Oryzias latipes: one gene and its partners. The protein of the gene in region 2 binds, or shares a complex with, the protein of the main gene of each other region. Links are inferred from orthologs where the notes say so. Each region holds a gene or a part of one and is shown on either strand. Other genes may lie near its edges. The genes, in order: ipo13, ran and sirt2.

Region 1 (6,222 bases), on a different chromosome or scaffold from region 2:
GAGATTTTCACGAGTGGCTGTAAAAAACTAACTTACCAACTAACTAAAATATACAAATAAATAAATACCTACTTAAAACGTAAACCTCTTATGCTAATGTGCAGGTTGTGCTGTGCAAAACCTGAACGTTTCTTATGAGAAAGTCTTTATTCAAATCGTTGTGAATCAGAAGTAGATGAAAAAATGCCATTAGACAAAGCTTGTAGGTCTGACATGGAGGTTTCTACGGCAAGTCACAACCTCCCTGCTCCTCTCTATTCTGATGCATCCACTTACAAAAAATAAATTCATGTATATCTTTGTTTTGTTTTTTGTATGAGATGGAATCTGACTCTAAAATGTCTGGCTGGATATCTCTGATATTCCTCGCCATTTTGTTGCACCGTTGATAGCGGGAGTGAGTTTAAACAAAGGCATGATGGGAAATAACCAGCAGCGTACTTTCACACCCGCCCACAGGTCAGAGGTGAATTCCTAATAAACTACTGCCACTCTGCAGAAACTAAGTCCTAAAAAATTACACCGATTTTTTAGATTTTCGCCAAAAGTCGTAATTAAAAGACCACTAGGAACGCTTTTACAATAGATCAAAGATGATCAGAGTGGACCTTAAAGAGCCAGTTGATCTGATTTTTTCCTGAGCAAAACCTACCCGGAGCTGCAAAATTCACTGTGTACGAATATACACTTTATTTAGGTTTTTGGGTTACTAAGCTATTCATTTTTAAGATGTAGTTCTTAAATATTTCAATGACTGAATTGAAACAGTGAAATCTTCTAATATATATTTAACAATATTAACTTTTTGACAACAGTAAATGTAAAAAGAAAAGTAAAAGACAACAAAGTAAAATAGGACATTTTCTGCCATTCTAACGTCTGGGTTTATATTCTTTTCTCAAAAAAACAAAATATAGTATATAATATTTTGTTAATGAGCCTTCTGCACCTGTCGACAGGTATTTTGGCCCCCTCCTCATGAGCAAACTGCTCCAGATTTCTCAGGTTTGACGGGTGTCTTCTCCAAATGGCATGTTTCAGCTCCTTCCACAATTGTTCAATGGGATTCAGATCTGGGCTCATAGAAGGCCACTTCAGAATAGTCCAACACTTTTCTCTTAGCCATTCGTGGGGGGGGTGTTTGGCTGTGTGTTTTGGATCGTTGTCCTGTTGGAAGATCCATGACCTGCGAATGAGACCAAGCTTTCTGACACTAGGCAGCACATTTCTATCCAGAATGCCTTGATAATCTGGAGATTTCATTTTACCTTGTACAACTTCAAGACACCCTGTGTCAGATGCAGCAAAGCAGCCCCAGCTTGTTGGCCCTGTCCTGGGGGGGGGGGGTTGACAGGTCGGGGCTGAGGCCTGAACAGAGCTCTCCCAGGGGTGGTGCCTGGGGGCGGGGGCCGGTGCCTTCTCCGGGAGCGGCGGCGCTTTCAGGCTCCTCTCTCTCTGTGTGGGGTGGGTAGTGTGGGGCCTGGGGGGTCGGCGCTTCGGGGGATGGGACCCCTGGGCTGAGGAGACCTGAGTCCTATGCCAGGGGGGGGGGCTGTTTGACCACCGGGGGACAGTCTACCAGCTTTCCCCGACTTACCCCTTACCTCATATAATCTTTTATTAGGGCGATGGGGCGGGGGATGAGTTCTCTGGCAAGACCAAGAGCCGGGGATCACATCTGAGCCGGGGGTGTCCGTGTCCCTGTGGTGTGGGTTCTGGTCCTTGCCCATGAGCACTGGGCCTCAGGGGCAGGGACAACACTTCTTCAAGACCCCCTCTTCCACTGGGTGTCCTCCTCCTGGGCAGGGATGGCTGGTCCCTGCCTTGCTCACTCCTTGACCAACCGTGGGCCGGGTGGGTGGCTGCCTGGAGCGCGGGGCGGGTCTCCCTTGGGGGGGTCCTGGTTCGTACCCGGGGTTGGGGTGGGGGGATGCCCAGAACTCCTGGGTGGTGATGAGGTGCTCGTCTGGGGCTGTGGGCGGTCTTCTGGGGTGTGGTCCCGCGTTGGGCCCTCCCAGCGCGGAGGGGGCTGCTCTCCTGGTTGGGCTGGAGCATGCACTCTCTGGCCCCCCACATGCCTCCCCTGCTCTTTGGCTTTGGGTCCCCTGCTGGCCCTGGCCTGGGTGGCGGATGTGATCGCTCTGAGGGCGCTTGTTCTCTATCTGCTGCTGTGCGGGTGTTGGGGGGGGTTCTGGCTGGCGCTGCGGTCGGGGTCTTTTACATTCCATCATCCATTTTAGAACATAAACACTCACTATGTACACTCCATACATGTAAATATAATTATATTTCAAGAGATTTGCCTCTAAGTGGCGATAAGACACTGTTGTGCAGCAGGAATTATAAAATGTACTTATTCTAATAATAAACCACTGGGACAGAAGAATAAACCCTTTCACAATGATTTTGCTCAGTAATTTAACATGTTAAACATCTAAAAACAATTAACTTAAGTTAAACTTAATTAACTAAGACAAATCAACCAAAACTACAAATCTATTTTTTAATTCAAACATTTGTTTAAAGCCAAAGAGCCAAAATGGATAAAGGAGCCTCATGTGGCTCCAAATCATAAAGTCGCAGACACCTGGTCTATAGTAAACTTGCTATATTCACATTTATTTAAAAAATAAAATTAAGTGTACTAACTTTTGCTAAGTGATGATGGCCCCATAGTGGGTAAGATGTAATTCAGACGGTCAATATCTGTAACTAAAGTTTAAACTATTTAGTTAGTCCCCCTGCACTTAAACAAATTCATCTTATTTTTATTGGTGAAGTGTGTTGTTTCATGCAGATCTCTGAATAATTTTTCCCTAGATCCTTGCAATTATTTTGTCTTTTTAAAACATAAATATGTAATCTAAACTAAATCAACGAAAAATCTGATACAGTCTTGGATATATTTAATAAATTAAAGTCAAGGTACAAAAAACAAAAACAAAAAATTGTACATTTTGTTCCTCCCACACAGTTCTTCCATTTATCTTAGACAAACACTGGTCAGTTTCTCGTTGCAAGCTAGAACCACAGAACAGATTTGAGGATCAGTGGTGAACATCAGGACATTCATAGATTCAGAATGGAGCCGAACGGCTCACTTCAGACTGGACTCCTGCCTCAGGTGTTGCGTTTTGCGTGGAGTCTTTTGGTACCTCTGTCCACTCTGAGTTCATTTGTCCCTTTAGCCCCACCCACCACTAACACTTACATGCTACATGTCTGCAGGCACCTTGGATAAGACAGAAGGGTTAAGCTGAGAACAGTGATCTCTGGAGCTGTAAAGTAACGTAGGCGCTGAGTGTTACACGTCGTCAGCCGTTTCTGCTGATTCACTAAACAGTGTATATTACAGTCTCAGGTGAAATGAATGAGAACTGAAGGGTGGGGAACGTGGGCTCTGGGAAGGTTCTCCCTCAACTCTTGCTCTTCTCAAAGACAGTGACTGAAATGGGCGAAGGGAAATCTGGGTGGCTCATCACAGGGATTTTGTTATCAGTGCCATCAATAACAGAAAGCCTGGAGGTCAAAGATTTTACCGACACGACGCTGTGGATCGCTGCGGCTGAATGTGCCGACTCAGTTTGCGGCGAAGAAATGAACAAGATGCTTCAACAAAAGAAGAGAGGAAGAAGATGCATTGGTTCTGGTAGGTCCATTATAAGTGCACTGAAGAAGTGGAAAAAAAAAAAAAAAAAAGAGCCACATTTGCTCTCACACATACAAGCATTCATACACTCATATACTCAAAGTGTTCAGCAATAACTGTTAATATGCACAAGTTGATTAATATTTTTGCACAATTACAGTGACTAAGCGGTCCACTGCCAAGTGAACCGATCCGTCCAGAAGCTCAGCTCTTTCTCCTCTCGCTGTCAATTACTGGGATTGCTCCGTTTCCCCTCAGGCGTCGCTCCAGGCAGTCCCTGCTTCGCCTTAGGGAGCGTCTCCGACGCAAGGAGACTGCAGTTTGAAAACGGGGATCTACAGTTCCTTACACAAAGAGTTCGGTTTGTACTTGGATTAGTCCAAACGTTGTCATCTTCTTTGATTCTTACACCAAAGGGTCCTCTTTTAAAAAATACCTAAAAGTTCACCAAAAAAAACATATATTTTGGCAAATGCTGAGATCACATGGCCATAAATGGGAATTAACAGTATTTGACTCATTTTAAACAGCGGACTCCTCCCCTAACCATTGTTCCTTCACCCCCCCCCCCCCTTTTTAGCAGCAGCAGGACTAAGAACCACTGTCTTTCTATATGTGCATACATATACGTTTATATAATGTACTTTGTTTACCATTGAAATTAATGTAAAGTATCTACGTACAATATTACTACCATTTCAAATGGATGCTAAACACCAGGAAACAACCTAGGAACCACAGGAAGATCTAGACAGGCAGAAAGAGTCGGGTGTAAAGGGGGGGGGGGGCTGTAAGGTACATGCTGCTCAAAGCTCTTCCAGCAAAACCTCTTCCAAGATGGAAAAGAGGGGGTAGCTCTTATCACGGGAAAACAATTGCAGGAGAGAAGGTGGCTGCTCTGGAGCAACCTGGGGTTGAGCGTCTGTTGTTCTAATGGCAGGTCTGTGCTGGAATGGTTCCATACTTGGTCCAGCGGCTGGGTGGATCATCGTTACAATCATTTCATGGTGGATCATGGGGATCGAATTGTTTGGCTGTGGCCTCCACTTGCTTTGCGCTGAGATCAGAGGTCGCAGGTGAGAGTTTCCAGGAGTGAGTTTCAGTAATCGGCGGCGTACTCTGTACCGTGGAGACCTCTGCACAGTAGTGTGAACTCCTTCACTATGTCCTTCACCCTTCTCTTGTTCACCCGTTCTCTGCTTGAGGTAGAGGAAAGCAAACCGTTACCACTACACCCATGAACCTGCTGCCACAAGCCTGAGAAGTTGGCTGTGTCCAAATTTGAGAGCTGCTTTCCTCCTGGGCTGCATTTGAAAGCTGCTTACGTCACCGCGGCGCGACAAGTGCTGTCCAAATTCAACGAATACAGCCTTGATTTTCTTCGATTTTAAGGATTGGTCTGGTGTATCCCTCTGTGCTGTCCATATAGAAGATGCATTGCGGTCAAACCTGGAGATTTTCTGACAATAATGGTGGACTGTGAAGCGGAACCCGGAGTTGGAGATAATTAAACATTTTTAGAATTACACCTCCAAGATTTAAAGTTGGATCAAATAAGCCAGGAACATTTTGAGCTCCACGCCTGGTTTACTAGTCCTCTGTGTTTGGGACTCACAGAGGACTAGGCGACATGACATTCGCCGATGTAACGGCTGGAATTATCGAACGCCTAGACTCGTCCAATTTCACAGCCGGTCAACCCGCTCGACGAAGGACCGGGTTAACGTCGCCCGCAAAGGCTTCGGCCGTCGAAGGATGCAGCCCCTCGAATTTGGACACAGCCATTGGTACTGAAGCAAGTGAGCAAGGATTCTGCTGAGCTACCTGAGTATCTGCTGGGAGAAGTTGACTTTCTGCTCAGTGGTGATGCGTGATGATGGGAATCCAGGAGGCTGCAGCACTTCTTTCAGCCACACAGCCAGCAGGGAGAAGCAGTGCTTGTTCAGGCTAAACAGCACTTCTGCAAACTGGTCCATGAGACTCCGAGAAGCTCCGCCTCCAATTCCCTAGAGAGGTGAGAGAGAAAGTTCAAAGAGGATGCACCGCTATGAGGTCAAATTAGGATCAGCTTAGAGGCCCACTCCAATGAAAAATGGGTTTTTGGTGTTTTTAACATGTTCTTGTGGCATCTTTCTGATGATGTAGGTCATATATAAAGAAATTACGCTTAAATTTGCATTTCTGAGTATTTTTTTATTTAAATTGTTGTAAATCTGGAACAGATGAAAAAATGTTGTAAGAAAAAATGCTTGGTGGTTGTGGTGTTTACTACCACAACCACCTGCTGTAGTGAGTCTACTACAGCAGGCCACAAGCTCCCCGCACTGCTCCATTCTGATGATCCACTTGTAGACAATTTGCTCAATGTAGGTCTTTGTTTTTATCGTCTCTGGCTCAAAACTGCACAGCTCCACTATTGCGCGCAATTTTTGTTGCACCAGTAATGTTAGCCTGGTGCTGTGAGGGGCTGTAAGCCAGCAGGAGAACGTGTGGACAAAGGGATGATGGGAAATGAGAAAGACTTACTCCATGTCAACAGTCTCGCCTACGACTCAGAGGTGAATTTCTAATGA
Region 2 (7,977 bases):
TGTGATTTTTATTTTATTTTATTTTATTGGTTTACATACTGAAGTATTAAAGATAAAGTATGGGCATTAACAGTTAACCTTTCCTTTTTTGTTTAATATAATAATATTATGTTATGTAGGGCTGCACAGCGGCGCAGTGGACAGCGCTCTCACCTCCCAGCATGAAGGTCCCCACAGTTCAAGTCCCAATCTTACTGTGGGGAGTTTGCATGTTCTCCCCGTGCATGCATTCTCTCCAGGGTCTCCAGCTTCCTCCAAAAACATGCTTCATAGGTCAATTGGCAACTCTAAATTGTCCCTAGGTGTGAGTGTGATTGGAATGGTTGTGATTGCAGCCCTGCGACAGACTGGCATCATGCAGGGTGTCCCCTACCTTCGCCCACAAAACGGCAGAAGATGAATATAATAATATAAGCGACAGTGTGGTCACACACTGATATTGGTCAAGAAGGCCTGGCTCTCAGTCTCCGCTCTGATTCATCCTGAAGGTGTTTTATTGGGTTCAGGTCAGGACTCTGTGTAGGCCAGTGTAGGCACTCTGACTCTGTGCAGAACTGTCATCCAGTGCACCTTGGTTTGTGCACTGGTGAACAGTCATGTTGGAAGAGGTAGGGCCTGCTCCAAACTGTTCCCACAAGATTGGGAGCACGAAATTGTCCAAAAATGTTTTGGTGTCCTGAAGCACTCAGAGTTCTTATCACTGGAACTAAGGGGCCACGCCCAAGTCCTGAAAAACAACCCCACACCATGATTGCTCCTCCACCAAATTTCTCACTTTGCACAATGCAGTCTGAAATGTACAGTTCTCCTGGGAATGTGTGCCATGCAAAAGAGTGATTCATTACTCCAGAGAAGGCGTCTCCACTGCTCCAGAGTCCAGTGGCGGCCTGTTTCACACCACTGCATCCAACACTTTGCATTGTGTGGCTTGCATGCAGCTGCTTGGCCATGGAAACCCATTTCATGAAGTTCTCCGAGTACTGTATTTGGGCTAAGCTGAAAGTTACATGAAGTTTAGAGCTTTGTAGCAATCGATTGTGCAGAGAGTTAGTGACCGCTTTCCACTATGTGCTTCAGCATCCATGGACCTCTCTGTCAGTTTACATGGCCTACCACTTGGTGGCTGAGTTGCTGTTGTTCCCTAACTCTTCCATGTTGTCCTGATAGAGCTGACAGTTGACTGGGGAATATTTAGGAGCGAGAAAATGTCACCACTGGATTTGTTGCAGAGGCGGAATCCTGTGACAGGAGTTCACTGAGCTCCTGAGAGCGGTCCATTCTTTCACAAATGTTCTTGAAAACAGTCTGCAAGCATGCATGCTTGATTTTATACATCTGTGGCCAGACCAAGTGATTAGGACACCTTAGTCTGATCCTTTGGTTGGGTGAGCCAATACTTTTGGTAATCTAGTGTATGATAAAACATGTCACTGTTGTCAGAGGAACAATAGCTACACCCATCTGCACTTTATGCAACACCTCAGGCAAGTTTAGGCCTCTGCAAATACATGAACACAATTGCCACCTAGTGCTCAAAATGTTAATAGCTCAAGAGCACGAGTTCCAGGAAGCAGTCTTCACTCTGTGGTGTGCACATACTTTTGCAGCAATTAAATGTTTAACTGGAAAGATCAGCTCAGTCCTTTCATCGTTTTAGTCACAAAATATTGCTTTAGTTCTTTTAGAAATGGAACTTTTAGTGCCAATGTCAGAGTCATCAATCCATCATCTTCAGAACTTGATGAACCCTTCTCAGGGTCACAGGCTGCTATAGGCAATAGACAAGCTAATAAAACAAGTTTTCACTATTTGAGCCGCCAGTTATACATCTTTAAATTCCTTAACCAAAGAATGCCTAAAAGCCTTAATACTTTTAAAGGAAAATAGGATTGAAGAGCAATTAAGGTTGAAAGTTTTTTATAAACAACTATCATTGAGATTATTTCACATTTACATGTACTATTTAGGAAACAAAGATATTAAGCAAAAACAAAGTCAAGTCAATGTTTTAATGACAATATTTTTATTCAAAGTTTATTCCCCTTAGTGCTCCCAGTACACCGTACAACAGCATTATGTGAGTTGGGTAGATGCAGTGGAGAGTGCTTGATGAAAAGTAGCACGTTGCCATGCCAACAACAAATCTGGGATGGGCTTGTCCTACAATGAAATTAGAACGACAACTTTTGCACAAAGTTTTTTTTTCTTTGTAAGTTTTAAAACAAAAAAATTCAAAAATAAAAAAATCTGAAAAGGGATTTTACAGTAAAGGGGCAAAACAACTTCCTGTCCACAGTCAGAGAGAGAAGGGTAAAAGGAAAGGGTTAAGGAAAGCGGTTCCCAGGTTAGAGGTCATCTTCTTCATCTGGGAGTGCTGTCTGTGATGCAACCTGGAAAACAAAATAATGTTTAAGCACCCAACAGGAAAACAGAAGCAGAGCGTGTATATCGTTCCTTTGTGACATTTATTGTTTTTTTAATGAATGCACATGATGATTAATGTGCAATATGAAAGAAAAACCGTGTACTACTCACCTGAAGTTCTTCCTCGTATTTAGCGGCAAGGTTGGGGTCCATAAGGACCTCTGGGGGAGCAAGGGCAGGCATTGCCACAAACTCCAGATTTGGATCACCGATCAACTTCCTTGCTAACCACAGGAAGGGCTTCTCAAAGTTGTAGTTACTCTTGGCAGAAATGTCATAGTACTGGAAAAAGAAATTAAATAAGACAAATACAAATGAGTTTGTGTAAATTCAACACAGAGACACTGAATAATTAAAAAAAAAAAGAAAAGAAGCAATTTTACCTGCAAGTTCTTCTTGCGGTGAAACACGATGCTCTTGGCTTTGACTTTTCTGTCTTTGATGTCTACCTTGTTGCCGCAAAGGACAATGGGAATGTTCTCACAGACACGGACCAAGTCACGGTGCCAGTTGGGTACGTTTTTGTAGGTGACCCGAGATGTGACATCAAACATGATGATAGCACACTGAGCTGTTGATGGGACAGATAAGTATCAACTTTAATATTCAGAGGTCACACGCACAAGACAACCTCTCTGAAAATAAAAGGAGCACCTTGAATATAGTAGCCATCTCTCAGGCCCCCAAATTTCTCCTGACCAGCTGTGTCCCAGACATTGTACTTGATGGGTCCTCTGTTGGTGTGGAACATCAGTGGGTGCACTTCGACTCCGAGAGTAGCTGTAATAGAAGAAGACGCGTAGAGGTGTCATCGAAAGCACAAAATATTTTAAAATCAAGACAAAACCATATTGCTTTTAAGCGTGGCTCATGGGTTTATCTGCAATACCACATATTGCTAAACAGAAAATATTTACATTAATACTTTCAAATGCAAACTTTGAGCTTTTTGACTATTTTTAAACCTCCGTGTCACTAAACGCGACACCCCAAGTAAAATATTGGCTATTATATACAATCAAAGATTTGAATGATGTTCCAGCACATTCTAACTCAAAAATAGTATTGGGAACTTCCAACTGTTTCGGTTTGTACAGCAATATCTAAAAAGATGAAAATATTGTTTATCTGTAATTACAGTGGAATATACTCACCTACATACTTCTTCTCAAACTCTCCTGTAATGTGTCTCTTCACAAAAGTCGTTTTTCCTGTGCCTCCATCTCCAACCAGCACCAACTGTTGAGGAGACACTGCATTTAGCATTTACGAACACTGGGCAACAAATAAACATATCAATTGCTATGACATAACTTACCTTGAAAACTGCAACTGGTACAGACTGCCCCATTGAATCAGCCATGGCTGCGACTTTTCTAAGTAAAAAGAAAGGCGGGATGAATTTGTTAGCATGCTAGCGGTCTGCTCGGGTTAGCATTGGTCACATTAGAGGAAATTAAATATGACTAAACGAAGAGCTACAACCGTAATTATTTGTGGAATTTACGGTCTGTAAGTTTAAGAAGAACCGGGCCGTTACCCGCCTATAACTTCTAGCATGTTCTATACACACCAGCAAGTGTGTAGCAATGCGTTCCTCTTTTTAGTCGAAAACATAATTAACGAAAACGGGTCAAAAGAATACGGCATCATTAAATAAAAACAAACCTGCCCTAAGGCACAACGTTAAAATCGATGGTTACCAACTAGCTCGAATGCTAACAAGCACTAACGTAGTGCGCCATATGACGCGAGAGCGCACTTTTTCTTGTTCGGCTAGAACAATTGGTCTCGATACGCCACAAACGTGTTCCCCTCTGTAAACCGGTTCGAATCCGACCTAAGCACGTTTTTCACGTGCAAGTCATTTACGGTATTTTTAAAATCTAATATAAGGATACAATCAGACGATTATGAAAAAGCACACAGAAGTCCCCTTAATAACTGCTAGCAAACGCGAGCGTTAGCTTAGCACCGTGGGTATTCTTTTCAACGGGGCCAACTGCTAGCTTAGCTTAGCTAGCAGTTGGCACACAGAAATACAAAAAAGAAACACGAATAGCTTGATTGGTTTCTCTGAGTACACACATCACATGGCCTACACAAACGCGTGAATCCTAATCCTACCTCAACGTATTTTTCTCTATTAAACCCTTTAAACGGGTACAAAGTTGAAAATATGGAATGGCCTGCGGCAGCAAGTGATCACAGACTCACCGGTGTAACTGCAGCGAGAGGAAAGACTAAATGGCCGCGTTCGCGGGAGATTCAGCGTGGACTATGAGTCAGTTTCCGCCCTGGTCACGTGACTCACTAAACGGTTTGAAAAGAATTACCTTTTTGAGTTTGGGTTCTAAATACAGTTTAAAAAATATATAGTTTAGTATATTTATATATGTATATAATGTAATGTATAAATATAGCAATAATATAATATATAAATATTAAATATATAAAAGTCTGCTATTAGTTCTTTATATTCTCATGAATGCGTCCTTATATTTTTATTTTAAGACAATGATGCAATGCAACAAACAAATGAGCACAACATTTTCCAATGTGCTTTATTTTAGTGTCATAACTAGTCCTAAATAAGAGTATTTCACATTTTTCAAACTACACAGTCAGATCAAAGTGTTTCCAGACTTTGTATTAGCCTCATTTTGTATAAAAATGTGCAAATTTAACACTTATAAGTTTAACACTACTCATCTGTACAATATATAATATAATTTGTGCGTTTTTACGATTTTAAATTCTGACAGGAAAGCAGCAGACCTAAAGGCTTTGTGGCTCATATAATAGTAAAGTAAATGCTTTTAATGCAGTAAAGCCTAGTAAAGACTGCAGATGCAAAAGGTTTATCTGTACAAGTAGTCTGCTTGTATGTTGGCTGCTATCTCTGATTCCCATCGGTCCCCATTGTTGAGCAGCTTCTCTTTGTTGTACAGTAGTTCCTCGTGGCTTTCTGTGGAAAACTCAAAGTTTGGACCCTTAGAGAAATTTAAAGAGAAAAGGACAAATGTAAAAAGAAATACCAGACATTCAAACGTGAAAAACCACTCTGATCGCCAAACAAAAGAAAATCGCGATAAAAAATACAATACTTTTTCCTACCTCAACAAAAGCATCAACAGGACAAGCTTCCTGGCAGAAACCACAGTAGATTCACTTTGTCATGTCAATGTCATAGCGAGTAGTTCTCCTGCTGCCATCAGCTCGAGTCTCAGCCTCAATAGTAATGGCCTTAGACATGAGGAAACAAAAGATCAGACCAGACAAGCAGTTCTTGGTATAAGAAATCTTTACTTCAAAGGATAAAGGGCTGTAAGAGCCCAGCATGTCGTGTGCATACTGAGTGTTAGTCAAACGTTAAAAAAAATGCTACAGAAAAATATAGTATGTCATAAGCAAAATTGAAAGACCTGAAAATATTACTTAACATCAACTTTGGCATTTCTCCACCACCAGCCTGTAAATTTTGTAGTATTTGTAGATATTTTATTTCCTTTCCTTAACTTCCACTTCAGTCAGATCAGCTGATCAGCTGCTCTGGGATGAACCAAGGTCAAAGTGTAAGCTCTGGGGGGCCAGAGCTTTCGCTGTTGCTTGCTCCAAATGCTCATTAGACAGTTACCTGCACTATTTATTTGTATAACCTGCCAAAAAAAAGCTTTTCTTATGTAGCATGTCATTCATTTGAACAATAGAATAGAATAGGATAGAATAGAACAGGACAGAATAGAATAGAAGAACTACACAAGACAGAATGTATCACACTGAATTAAAATACAAGTAAAACACAAATTCAAAAGCATTCGATAAATGCAGACCAGTTCCTTTTAGTTTTTTTTTTAGGTTTATTTTTACTTATTACATCCTTGCATTTTGAAAGACGATGCTTTTATTCTTGTCATTTATCTTCCTGTCTGCCATATGTCTATTTCTCATTTGTTGACATGTGCATCATTTTATTTACAATAAAAATGTAAAACACTGTTAATTTGCGCTCACCTGAGCAGGGCAGATGGCTTCACACAGTTTACAGGCAATGCAACGCTCTTCTCCATTAGGATATCGGCGAAGGGCGTGCTCGCCACGGAACCGTGGCGACAGAGGGCCCTTCTCGAATGGATAGTTGATGGTCGCAGGCTCCCGGAACAGGTAGCTCATAGTCATCCCCAAACCTGTGAGGAAAAAGTGGACAAAGGAATCAAACAGAACATCAGCCAGACACTGTGTACTAATAATTACAGTATGAGAAATGGAAACGGGAGACTTATCAATAACATCAACCCAATCCTTCAGTTTTCTTAAACACTTTCTGCTCATTAAAGTTGAAATAATTAAGATCAGTAGAAAACCAAAATGCATTAGGTATGCTGAGGTGCAAACAGTATGTGCATCTGTTAATGTATGAATAGGTTTGTTTTGTTTTGCATAATGCCAGTTTGTAAAACATGTTTACTGGGAATCTGAATTGTCTAGCTTTTACAAAACGCTCCATCTTTGCTAAAATCAAAAAGGAGTGTTACCTCTAAAGAGTTCAGTCCAAAGCAGGGTTGTGGCAGCACGGTCAGTTATAGATCTCAGATCAGTTGGCAGCTCTTGGGCATTGACATACTCTGCAAGAAGATTAGAGAGGAAATTACAGAGTGCTTTTTAAGGATTTATTAGACTTGGTCATTATTCAGAAAACACCAATAATCTGCAGTTCTTTTTTGTTGTTGTTGTTGTTGTTTTTTGGCAACACGTACTATAACCGCCTCTCTGCACGCTAACACTTAAAGTTCGCATGATGACACCGGGGCCAAATCCAAAAATACCTGCAGAGAGAGAGAGAGCCAGAGGAATGGAACTGAATCACTCACTGTGATGATGTTTAATGCATGCGGTTCGGTACCTTGCTCAGAGCAGCAACGCAGAAAACGCAGACTCAGTGAGGCAGACATCTGCGGGGATACAGACCAGACCAAAACACACATACGAACTTACAAAACTTAGTGTTAAACCACAGAAACCTGCAGACGGGGGAACACAATTTGAACAAAGTCGTTAATCTGGGGTTCCAAATCCGTGAGAGAACTTCAACGTCATGGTGCATTCAGGAAACACAGGATAATCGGAAAAAGTAGCCCTCGCAACATAACAGCACTTCATTAACACTACAGAATTATAGATTAACAGGCAAACAAAAATTTATAGATTTTTATTGATTTATCTTTGATCCTCATTGTAAATAAGTAAGAAAGGATAGTTAGTTAAACTGCTAAAAACTAGCCTAAAATATACCTAGATATTTATGGCCTCTACACTCATTTTAAAACATTTTAGAACAGCACACATGTCTCTTAAAGATTTATTAACGTATTCCTAAATATGTTTATTTAGATGACTCCTGTTTATCGAGGTTTTTCACTGCTTGACCTGATTTAGACTTCATTTGGCACTCAGCCTTTTTTCACTATTGTGATAGGTAAATGTTTTGGGATAATTCAGACAAGATAGTACAGATTCCTTTTTTAAAGTCTATACCAAAAACCAATAGTTTTA
Region 3 (7,617 bases), on a different chromosome or scaffold from region 2:
TAGATTTGAAACTAATCTCTGTAGAGGAAAACCCATCAATGATCTACTGAGTCTCCTGATTTTTAGGCATTTCTGACACAGGTGATTCTCCAACATCAGACGACAAACATTTCCTCCATGGCTGAAAGGAAGTAAAGTTTACACTCCTGTTTTCCTTTGAATGAGATTTCATTTCTTCCGTTTACACTAAGTTCGGACCTTTACTGAAATTTCTAAAAAGTGGATTTTAAAGAAAATACGTTCTCTAAAACAAACTCACCCCAGCAGGAGTCCCAAAGATGGCGGCATGAGCTCTTTCTCTGTCCCACTCTTCCACTGGACTCCAGGCCTCCTGACACCCCCTCAGCTGCTCCAGCAGCGACAGTTTCTTCCTGCTGCCCCTCCATGGGATGGCTGTGGTCCCATTAACTGGACTGTGGACTGCCCTGAACATGTGGCTACATTTGTGAGCGCGCTTGAACATCTTTAAAGCCAGTTTTGACAAACCGTCTTCTGAAACTAAATAAAACTAGAAAGAATTTTTCTGTACTCTTAGTTTTTATGTATTTTTTTTGGTCGCGGCTTAATGTGATTCAACCATCTGACAGTAAAGATTGGATATAATTAGTTACTACTTACATGTTTCCTCTTCCTGCACGGTTAGCAGTCAGTTGTCATCCTGCACTCTTCTCTCTTGAACTTTTCTTTTCTTTGTGGCGTCAACAGAAGCTTCAAAGCTCAGAACGGCATCAGACCTGAAGCAGCATCATTCTTTTCTGGAATCATCATCGAGATGTGAAAGACTGGGAGCTAAGCTGCAGGTTTGTAATGTCCTGCCGACACCTTTTGCCTTCGTTTGTCTGCATCACACGCAGGTCTTTAATGAGCTCTGAAACTCTACAACCCCCATCATGCAACCCCCCCCCGCCCCCCTCCATGTGTGTGTGGTTAACCCAGTTCTGCACTTGCTGTGCTCACCGACGCTGCACATTGACTTCACGCTCTAATAGAACTGCTTTCTACTCAGTGCAAGCATCAGAACCCGAGATTTTCTCTGAAGTTCATGTAGTTTTTAGGGACGGTTGTAGATACTCTTTAAAAAAACACAGTTTGGTGGAAAACTGTCTTGCAAACCTTCAGGTTCCATTTCCTCCTCGTGTTCAGAGTGTTAACCGCACCCTGTCCATCTCTGTGGCAACAAGATTCAAGGAAGACGTCATAACCCAAGAGGCCCTCATGGACGTCCGGTCCGACCTCAGGACTAGCAGCGAGCTGCAAAAGTTGGAGGAAAGCTTAAGGAAAATACAAACCGACACTTCATTTATAAGAGAGCTCCTCAAACCATCTCTGAGACAGGAGGTGTTTCCTGTAAAAAGAGGCTGCAGACATGGAGGACCGGAGGATGCAACAGTCCAGAATAAGCTTTATCAGAGCAGATCTTCTCCTTCCTGTCATCACAGATCTGGTTAGGATGTCCACGTCTGAGGTTAGGCGTGTTTCATCTGCTGAACCAGCATGTCTGAGCATCATCGTGCCTTCACCCCACCCACCCCCACCCCCCATCAGCTCTTCATTGAAGTTCCAGGTGCCTTTGAATCGGTCATCCCCAACAATGTTCTGCTGTCTCCTCCACCAACGGACAACATTCATGTAGAAAGGCTTGGAGAACTAGAGGCTGTGATTTTAACAACAAACTTTAAACAGAAAAATAAGTCTCTCTTTTGATTTAGTATTCATGTTAATGCGCTTTAACCAACGTTTAGCTCAGAACCTTAACTTCCAGAACCGCTTTAACACTGACATTCTGAAGAATCTCTGGGTTCTTCTTTACCGCAGTTTGAGCCTCCTACGTAAGAACTACATAGGAGGTTCCTTCAATAACAGCCCTGGAGCTGCAGAGAGGTGCATACGTCAAATACTTTAATTTAACTCGTCCGTCTTAGACATTAATTCGGTGAGTTTATCTTTACCGGAGATCCCTGGCGCTGAAATGTTCTCAGTCAGAACATGAATCAAACCAGGCAGCTGATATTTCTGATGCTTATGCTCCATTAGATTACTTTAAATTTAAGGTTCATTGGTGTCTCCTTCAGAGTTCCTCTGGAGTCAGATGAATGAAAGCAGAAACTGTGCTGGTGCCATTGTCAGAGATGAAGAGTAGTTATTTAGTTTGAGAATGTTTCATGTTTTCGTGATTTATTGGAGTGTGAGAATAGGAGATCTAGAGCTGATCATCCGAATTCAGCTTCGGTCTTCTCACTAAAACGAAAGGATGGATGAAGTTTTTCCATCCATGAAAAACCAAAAGTGACTTTTCAATCTGTTGCAGGTTGGTATAAACGCGGTCAGTGTTGTTGTTTTTCAATTTGGCATAGATTTAGTTTCCAAATTTGGATTTCTTTAAATCATTAAGTTTTCTCTTTATCTTCTCAATTTGTGGGGGAGAACTCAGAACATCCAATCCCACAATGCAATAGCTCCTGGTCCCTGAACTCTGCTTTATTCACTTCAGATGACTAAAGTAGGTGTGATTTTTGCTTGGAAAGTTTTGACTCAAACTTTGAAACAATAAGTTGAACAAAGGAGGGACTTCCTGGTCTTTAGAAGGTTTTTAAAAGCCCAGAAGTAACCAAACCTATTTTCCCATAAAGTAAAAATGATGTAGAAAATTCTTTTGAGCCCAAACAGGTTAAAAAGGGTAGATAAAGTTTGTTACAAATCAATGTATGGGTGTGTTGGATAAACAGAGGACAAAGAAAACTGAACCAAGGTTGAGTTTATTGCAGGTTTTGCTTTAGTCGATCACAAACCTGGATCTCAGCTTCAGTTGCTGATAATTTCAGTTCATCGAAGCTTATGTTTTTTCTGATCTTGGGTTTCAACAGTTTTTTTCTGTTCAATTTCAATTCTGTTCTGCCGATGTCTTATTTTTACATTTATTATAAAAACCTGCTGCATTTCTTCAAACCAAGACTTTTTGAAATAAGCATCAGAATTAAGAGACGATGAAACACTTCAAGTTAAAGAGATTAAATATGATTAAAAATCACTAAACTAAGTTAAAGAAAAACAGAGTTACTTTTCTGCAAAGAACATTTGGGATGTAAACAGTTTCACTTTGAAATGCTATAAATAGCAAATTTTTGATTTTTATGTTCGTCTCACTGCAGAGTCAAACGAGCTGCAGACCATCTCACCTGGTTTCAGTTTTAGTCAAACAGGAAGCATAACTGTGCGGGCTGCAGTCACATGATGAGCGACAGCAGAAAGCGTGGAAAAGTCACAAAAGTGCAAAAGATATTAGAATTTTGACATCAGCCTGAAGTCTTGATCCAACTTAGATACCAGCCGTCGGCTTAAGTGAGGTCACTCCTCTGGCTTCACAGAGGACGAGCTGGCTTTGGCCGCCGCTCCTCCAGCTTCTCCAGGCTGCTCCTTCTTGTCTTTACTGTCGATCTGAGCGTGCTCCTGCTTCACCAGAGCCTCCAGCTCGGCCTGTGGAGGACAGACGGCAGAAGATGGAGTCTTATATGTGCCGTGCTCAGAGGAAAGCAGCTTCATTCAAGAACATCATCTGAAAGTTACACACACTAGCAGCAGTGAAAAGTTCATTTTGTTGCCGTTTTTTTTTTTTCAATGAACCTTAAAAAAACTATTATAAATTATATAAATCAATGAATCCAATCAAACTTCACTGAATAAGAGAAATACTGGTTTATATATTTATGAATTTATTTCGCTTGAAAGCAGTTCTATTTTGGCATTTTTTTGTATTTCTTTATTAAAAACAAACAAAACCAAAACAAATGGGTCGATTCAGTGGTTAAGCAGGAAGGTGCTTTCTGGATTCTGTGGGGAAAAAAGTTCAGAGAGGATCTGAGTAGGAGCAGGAGATACCTTCCAGCCCAGCAGGTCAGCCAGAGCCAGGCAGCCGTCATCACAGGAACTGATGTGAGCCACATCCCTGCAGAGAGCGACCGACCGTTAGCAGTAAAAACCCAGGGCTTTCCGCTTTCAATTAAAAAGAATTAAAAAATTAAAAAGTTATCGTTTTTAATTTAAGAAAGAAAGAATTTTGAAGAAAGAAAAAAATGTAATTTAAGAAAGAAAGAATTTTGAAGAAAGAAAAAAAACATCCTGGTTGAAAATGCCGTTCTCAGGACACAAGTCAGATGTGAACAAATAAAACTAAGACAAAGAAGAAAAACGTCACAGAGTTTTTCAGTGAAGTGGAGTTGATCATCTCAGGTCCTAAATCTTCTCTGAATCTAAACAGGATCTCCTGAAAAAGAAAATCCAGAATTTCTCTAACACAGTTCTTTATTTAAGAACACATGTGAAGCCCCACAAGGACGATGAAGCCTCAAAACATCTTTGCTCCAAATAAAAGGACCAACATGAATTTCCTCTTAGTAAACCTCCCCGCTGTACATTTAGAAATGTTCATCTTTAAAGAAACTGAATTTGTCCAGAGACAAGGTTTCACTTTGTGTTGTCACGTTTTCTGGCTCACAGCACAAAAAACAGCTGACCTGGAGGCGGGGCATACCATCACTAGAACGCTAGATTTCCCTAAAGGCCGGAGCCCAAAATCACTAACTGTCAAATTGATCAGTGTCCGAAGAAATCTGCTTTTGGAAAAACATCTGTCCATGTTTTAGGTGTTTCGTGGGGCGTTCAACATCAACAGTGACGTGAACCTACAAAGTTCTCCGTCACTGGAGAACAGTCCAGAGACGCGGAAAAACTACTGACAGGAAGCTCAAACGTAAAGATGGGAGTTTACTTGCAGTCATTTTTGAAAAATAAAATCCATAAACTAAGTTTACAGAGATCCCATCATCCCCCTTTTTTTTTTTTTATAGGAAAAACCTTCAAACATCTTCAGACGCGACCCATTTGGGATGTAAGGGAAAGATCCGTTTGGATCCGCTGGATGAGTTCTTCACCTGTACGCCTTGTCTGAGTCAAAGTCCATGCCTCCTCCAAATCCCAGCATCCCCAGCATGGGGTCAGCCTGCAGAAGCAGAGAGGAACGCCACCATGAAGCCACTCCCACACCGCCGTGGCTCTGACAGGTGTAAGGAGTGTCAGGGGGCGCTGAAAACGCTTACCTCCCCTGCCTTTTCCATGTTAATAAGCAACCGGGGGCAACTCTTGGAAACCCTAAAGAACAAAGAAAAGTGTTTTTTTTTTTTTAAATCTGATCCACAGCTTCCTGTGAGTTTTGTGAGGAGGTGACCCTGCAGGACGAACGCCATACCTGCCGACTAAACCTGCAAACGGCTGCACCTGCAGAGACGTCCCCATGACAATCAGAAGGTCACAGCGAGGGAAATCCTACAGAATGTGGACACAAAAATGCCATTTCTTTGCATCTCAATTCAAAGTAGTTGAAAGCAACGTGATGATCTCACCATCTTCACTGATGTGAAGAAACGCGCCGGCAGATTCTCCCCAAAGAAAACAATGTCTGTTCAACGTGAAGGAATTTTAGCCGAAAATATTAAAAAAAAAAAAAATGATGGCAATAGACCAAAACCATTTTAAACAGCAGGATCAAACATCAGGACCTGACCTGGTTTCACCAAACTGTTGCACTTCTCACATTTGGGAATGGCATCAGAGAAGATTTTCTCTGCAAAGCAAAGTTCTAAAGTTTAGAGTCCAGAGGTCTAAATCCAACAGATCTTTGAGTGAAGACCAAACCTTTCATCCAGTCCAGGCTGTACTCTTTACGGCAGCAGAAGCTGACACAGTGGGAGGTGTAGAAGGTCCCATGAGCTTCAATCAGATCTTCTTTTTCAAGACCTGCAACTCGCTCCAGAGTGTCGATGTTCTGCATGGAGAAACCCAAACCATAAGGCAAAGGAACCCCAACAGAGCTTCAGGGAGAAGATGCTGCAGGTTTCCTGCCTGAGTGTAGCAGCGTCTCAGGAGGCCTTTGTTCTTCAGCAACTTTATGAAGTAGTGACAGATGGTTGGCTGGAGATGGACAAAAGAGCGCAGACTATGTGAAAGACGTGACAACCAGGGGGCTCTCACTCTGAAGGCTGGAGCTGTACCTTAAACTGTCCTGGGTAGAGCTCCTTCGCCAAAGTAAAGAACGGTTCTGGATGTTTCTGAAACAGAACAGTTCAAATATGGATGTTTTTCTTCATTGTATATATTATATATTTACATTATGGCAGTGTTAATATAACATGAGGTCCTCCATAAACCTTAAAGTAATCTATCTGGAAGATGGCTTCTGGGTAAGGCAGGTTGTATTTCTGCAGGTTTGCATACAGGCCGGTTTCTGGAGAACGGAAATCTGGAATTCCAGCAGCTTCAGAGGAAAAACATGGACACAGTGTTTACATCATCAAAAACATGTCAACAAAAATAAACAAAGCCTAAATACTCACATGTGGAGATTCCTGCACCAACCATGCAGATGATGTTTTTACCTGCGTGATCCAAACAAAACCTGTGAGTGTGTGAAAGCGAACCTACATCTGCAGACCCATTAACACTCACATTTGCCGCTCTTTATATACTGAGCCACTCCTTCCAGAGTCAGAGCATCCAGAACCTTCTCTGCAGAGCCGAGGCCCAAAGTGCTGGAGAAGAGGTTCCGCAGGAAGTCCACTGGAAGGAACAGAGCAGAATCACACACACACAAAAAAACACACCAATGAGAAGACAACTGCATCCCTGCACCTGAACGCAGCAGACCAAAACAGTGAGGATTCAGTTCTACACAGACCGGAACTACCGTATTTTCCGGACTATAAGTCGCTCCGGAGTATAAGTCGCACCAGCCCAAAAATGCATTATAAAGTAGAAAAAAACACAGATAAGTCGCACTGGACTATAAGTCGCATTTTGACGGGAAATTTATTTAACAAAATCTGAGACCAAGAACTAATAACTTGCACAAACTCATATGACACAATCATAGCAGACTGTTTATCTCATAATTTCACAGTAATTCTTTCTCATGCTTATTTATTTATTCTTTTCATGAAGCATCATTGGCCAACTAATACTCTGTTTTAATCCTGTATTTGTAGAATGTAGTCATTTTTATTGCATTTCTGAATCTATGAAATCATTGGAAAATAGAATATTATGTTGTTAGCCTTCAAGGTCTTATTGTAAAAAAAAGTTTGCTGATTCTCTGAGTCACTTAACATCCTCTTAACACTTAACATACCTCATACATCAAATTGACCCAGGAACATCATCTCTGTTCCTCACAAATGAACATAACAGGAGGGTTAACAATGTATTTATTTCAATTTATTTCTAATATAAGTCGCTGCGGAGTATAAGTCGCACCCAACCTATGAAAAAAAGGGCGACTTGTAGTCCGGAAAATACGGTAATGTTCTTAGAGGACTAACACACAGGAGTGATTGGTCTTTCTGTGTGTAGGGGGGGCCCAGCGACAGGCACCCTTTTACAAGGGCCCCTGTCTCCTGGTAAACTGCCCATGGGTGCCAAAGACTGGGCGGGGTCTAGCGGAGGCAGCCTGGGAATGACGGGGCTGCAGCCATCCAGCAGTGGTGATTATGTCTCTTGGGTGTTGGGCTCTTCACTCAGGGAGGGGGGGAACCCTGACATCTCTGGCTATGCCATGAGCCGGGGATGACA

What was found.
Region 1: the proteins of ran (region 2) and ipo13 are in contact, whole or in part, in a crystal structure (PDB 3ZJY), measured with the Homo sapiens proteins. The link is inferred for Oryzias latipes from reciprocal best matches to the Homo sapiens genes RAN and IPO13. Residues at the interface, in NP_006316.1 of Homo sapiens: Lys37, Lys38, Tyr39, Leu43, Gly44, Val45, Val47, Pro49, Trp64, Gly74, Leu75, Arg76, Asp77, Gly78, Tyr79, Ile81, Gln82, Asn103, Arg106, Asp107, Arg110, Val111, Tyr147, Trp163, Arg166; in NP_055467.3 of Homo sapiens: Leu33, Tyr34, Tyr35, Ile39, Lys42, Gln46, Leu49, Met50, Gln53, Glu73, Tyr76, Phe77, Ser80, His83, Ile84, Ile118, Thr121, Arg122, Val125, Val172, Glu175, Glu176, Thr179, Ser414, Asp415, Arg784, Asp785, Pro787, Asp788, Pro829.
Region 3: the proteins of ran (region 2) and sirt2 are in contact, whole or in part, in a crystal structure (PDB 5FYQ), measured with the Homo sapiens proteins. The link is inferred for Oryzias latipes from reciprocal best matches to the Homo sapiens genes RAN and SIRT2. Residues at the interface, in NP_006316.1 of Homo sapiens: Phe35, Glu36, Lys37, Lys38, Tyr39, Val40; in NP_036369.2 of Homo sapiens: Phe96, Arg97, Glu116, Phe119, Gln167, Ile169, His187, Ile232, Val233, Phe234, Phe235, Gly236, Glu237, Ser238, Leu239, Phe244, Gln265, Val266, Gln267, Pro268.

The regions. Positions count from the first base shown.
Region 1 is NC_019862.2:26,617,994-26,624,215, reverse strand, and holds the end of ipo13 (importin-13), read right to left. Parts: intron 5,656-6,222; coding exon 5,474-5,655; intron 4,849-5,473; coding exon 4,749-4,848; 3' UTR 2,890-4,748; downstream 1-2,889. UniProt on the Homo sapiens protein: Functions in nuclear protein import as nuclear transport receptor. Serves as receptor for nuclear localization signals (NLS) in cargo substrates.
Region 2 is NC_019868.2:13,951,779-13,959,755, forward strand, and holds ran (GTP-binding nuclear protein Ran), read right to left. Parts: upstream 4,733-7,977; 5' UTR 4,642-4,732; exon of another isoform or gene 4,552-4,641; intron 4,385-4,551; exon of another isoform or gene 3,998-4,384; intron 3,801-3,997; 5' UTR 3,788-3,800; coding exon 3,743-3,787; intron 3,664-3,742; coding exon 3,579-3,663; intron 3,205-3,578; coding exon 3,079-3,204; intron 2,996-3,078; coding exon 2,808-2,995; intron 2,707-2,807; coding exon 2,536-2,706; intron 2,391-2,535; coding exon 2,346-2,390; 3' UTR 2,001-2,345; downstream 1-2,000. UniProt on the Homo sapiens protein: GTPase involved in nucleocytoplasmic transport, participating both to the import and the export from the nucleus of proteins and RNAs. Switches between a cytoplasmic GDP- and a nuclear GTP-bound state by nucleotide exchange and GTP hydrolysis.
Region 3 is NC_019871.2:17,929,768-17,937,384, forward strand, and holds the end of sirt2 (NAD-dependent protein deacetylase sirtuin-2), read right to left. Parts: intron 6,610-7,617; coding exon 6,499-6,609; intron 6,429-6,498; coding exon 6,387-6,428; intron 6,308-6,386; coding exon 6,201-6,307; intron 6,102-6,200; coding exon 6,045-6,101; intron 5,965-6,044; coding exon 5,896-5,964; intron 5,819-5,895; coding exon 5,689-5,818; intron 5,618-5,688; coding exon 5,558-5,617; intron 5,453-5,557; coding exon 5,397-5,452; intron 5,320-5,396; coding exon 5,243-5,319; intron 5,146-5,242; coding exon 5,094-5,145; intron 4,997-5,093; coding exon 4,929-4,996; intron 3,944-4,928; coding exon 3,877-3,943; intron 3,475-3,876; coding exon 3,346-3,474; 3' UTR 2,741-3,345; downstream 1-2,740. Other genes in the region: ras and Rab interactor 2, read right to left, coding at 260-463. UniProt on the Homo sapiens protein: NAD-dependent protein deacetylase, which deacetylates internal lysines on histone and alpha-tubulin as well as many other proteins such as key transcription factors.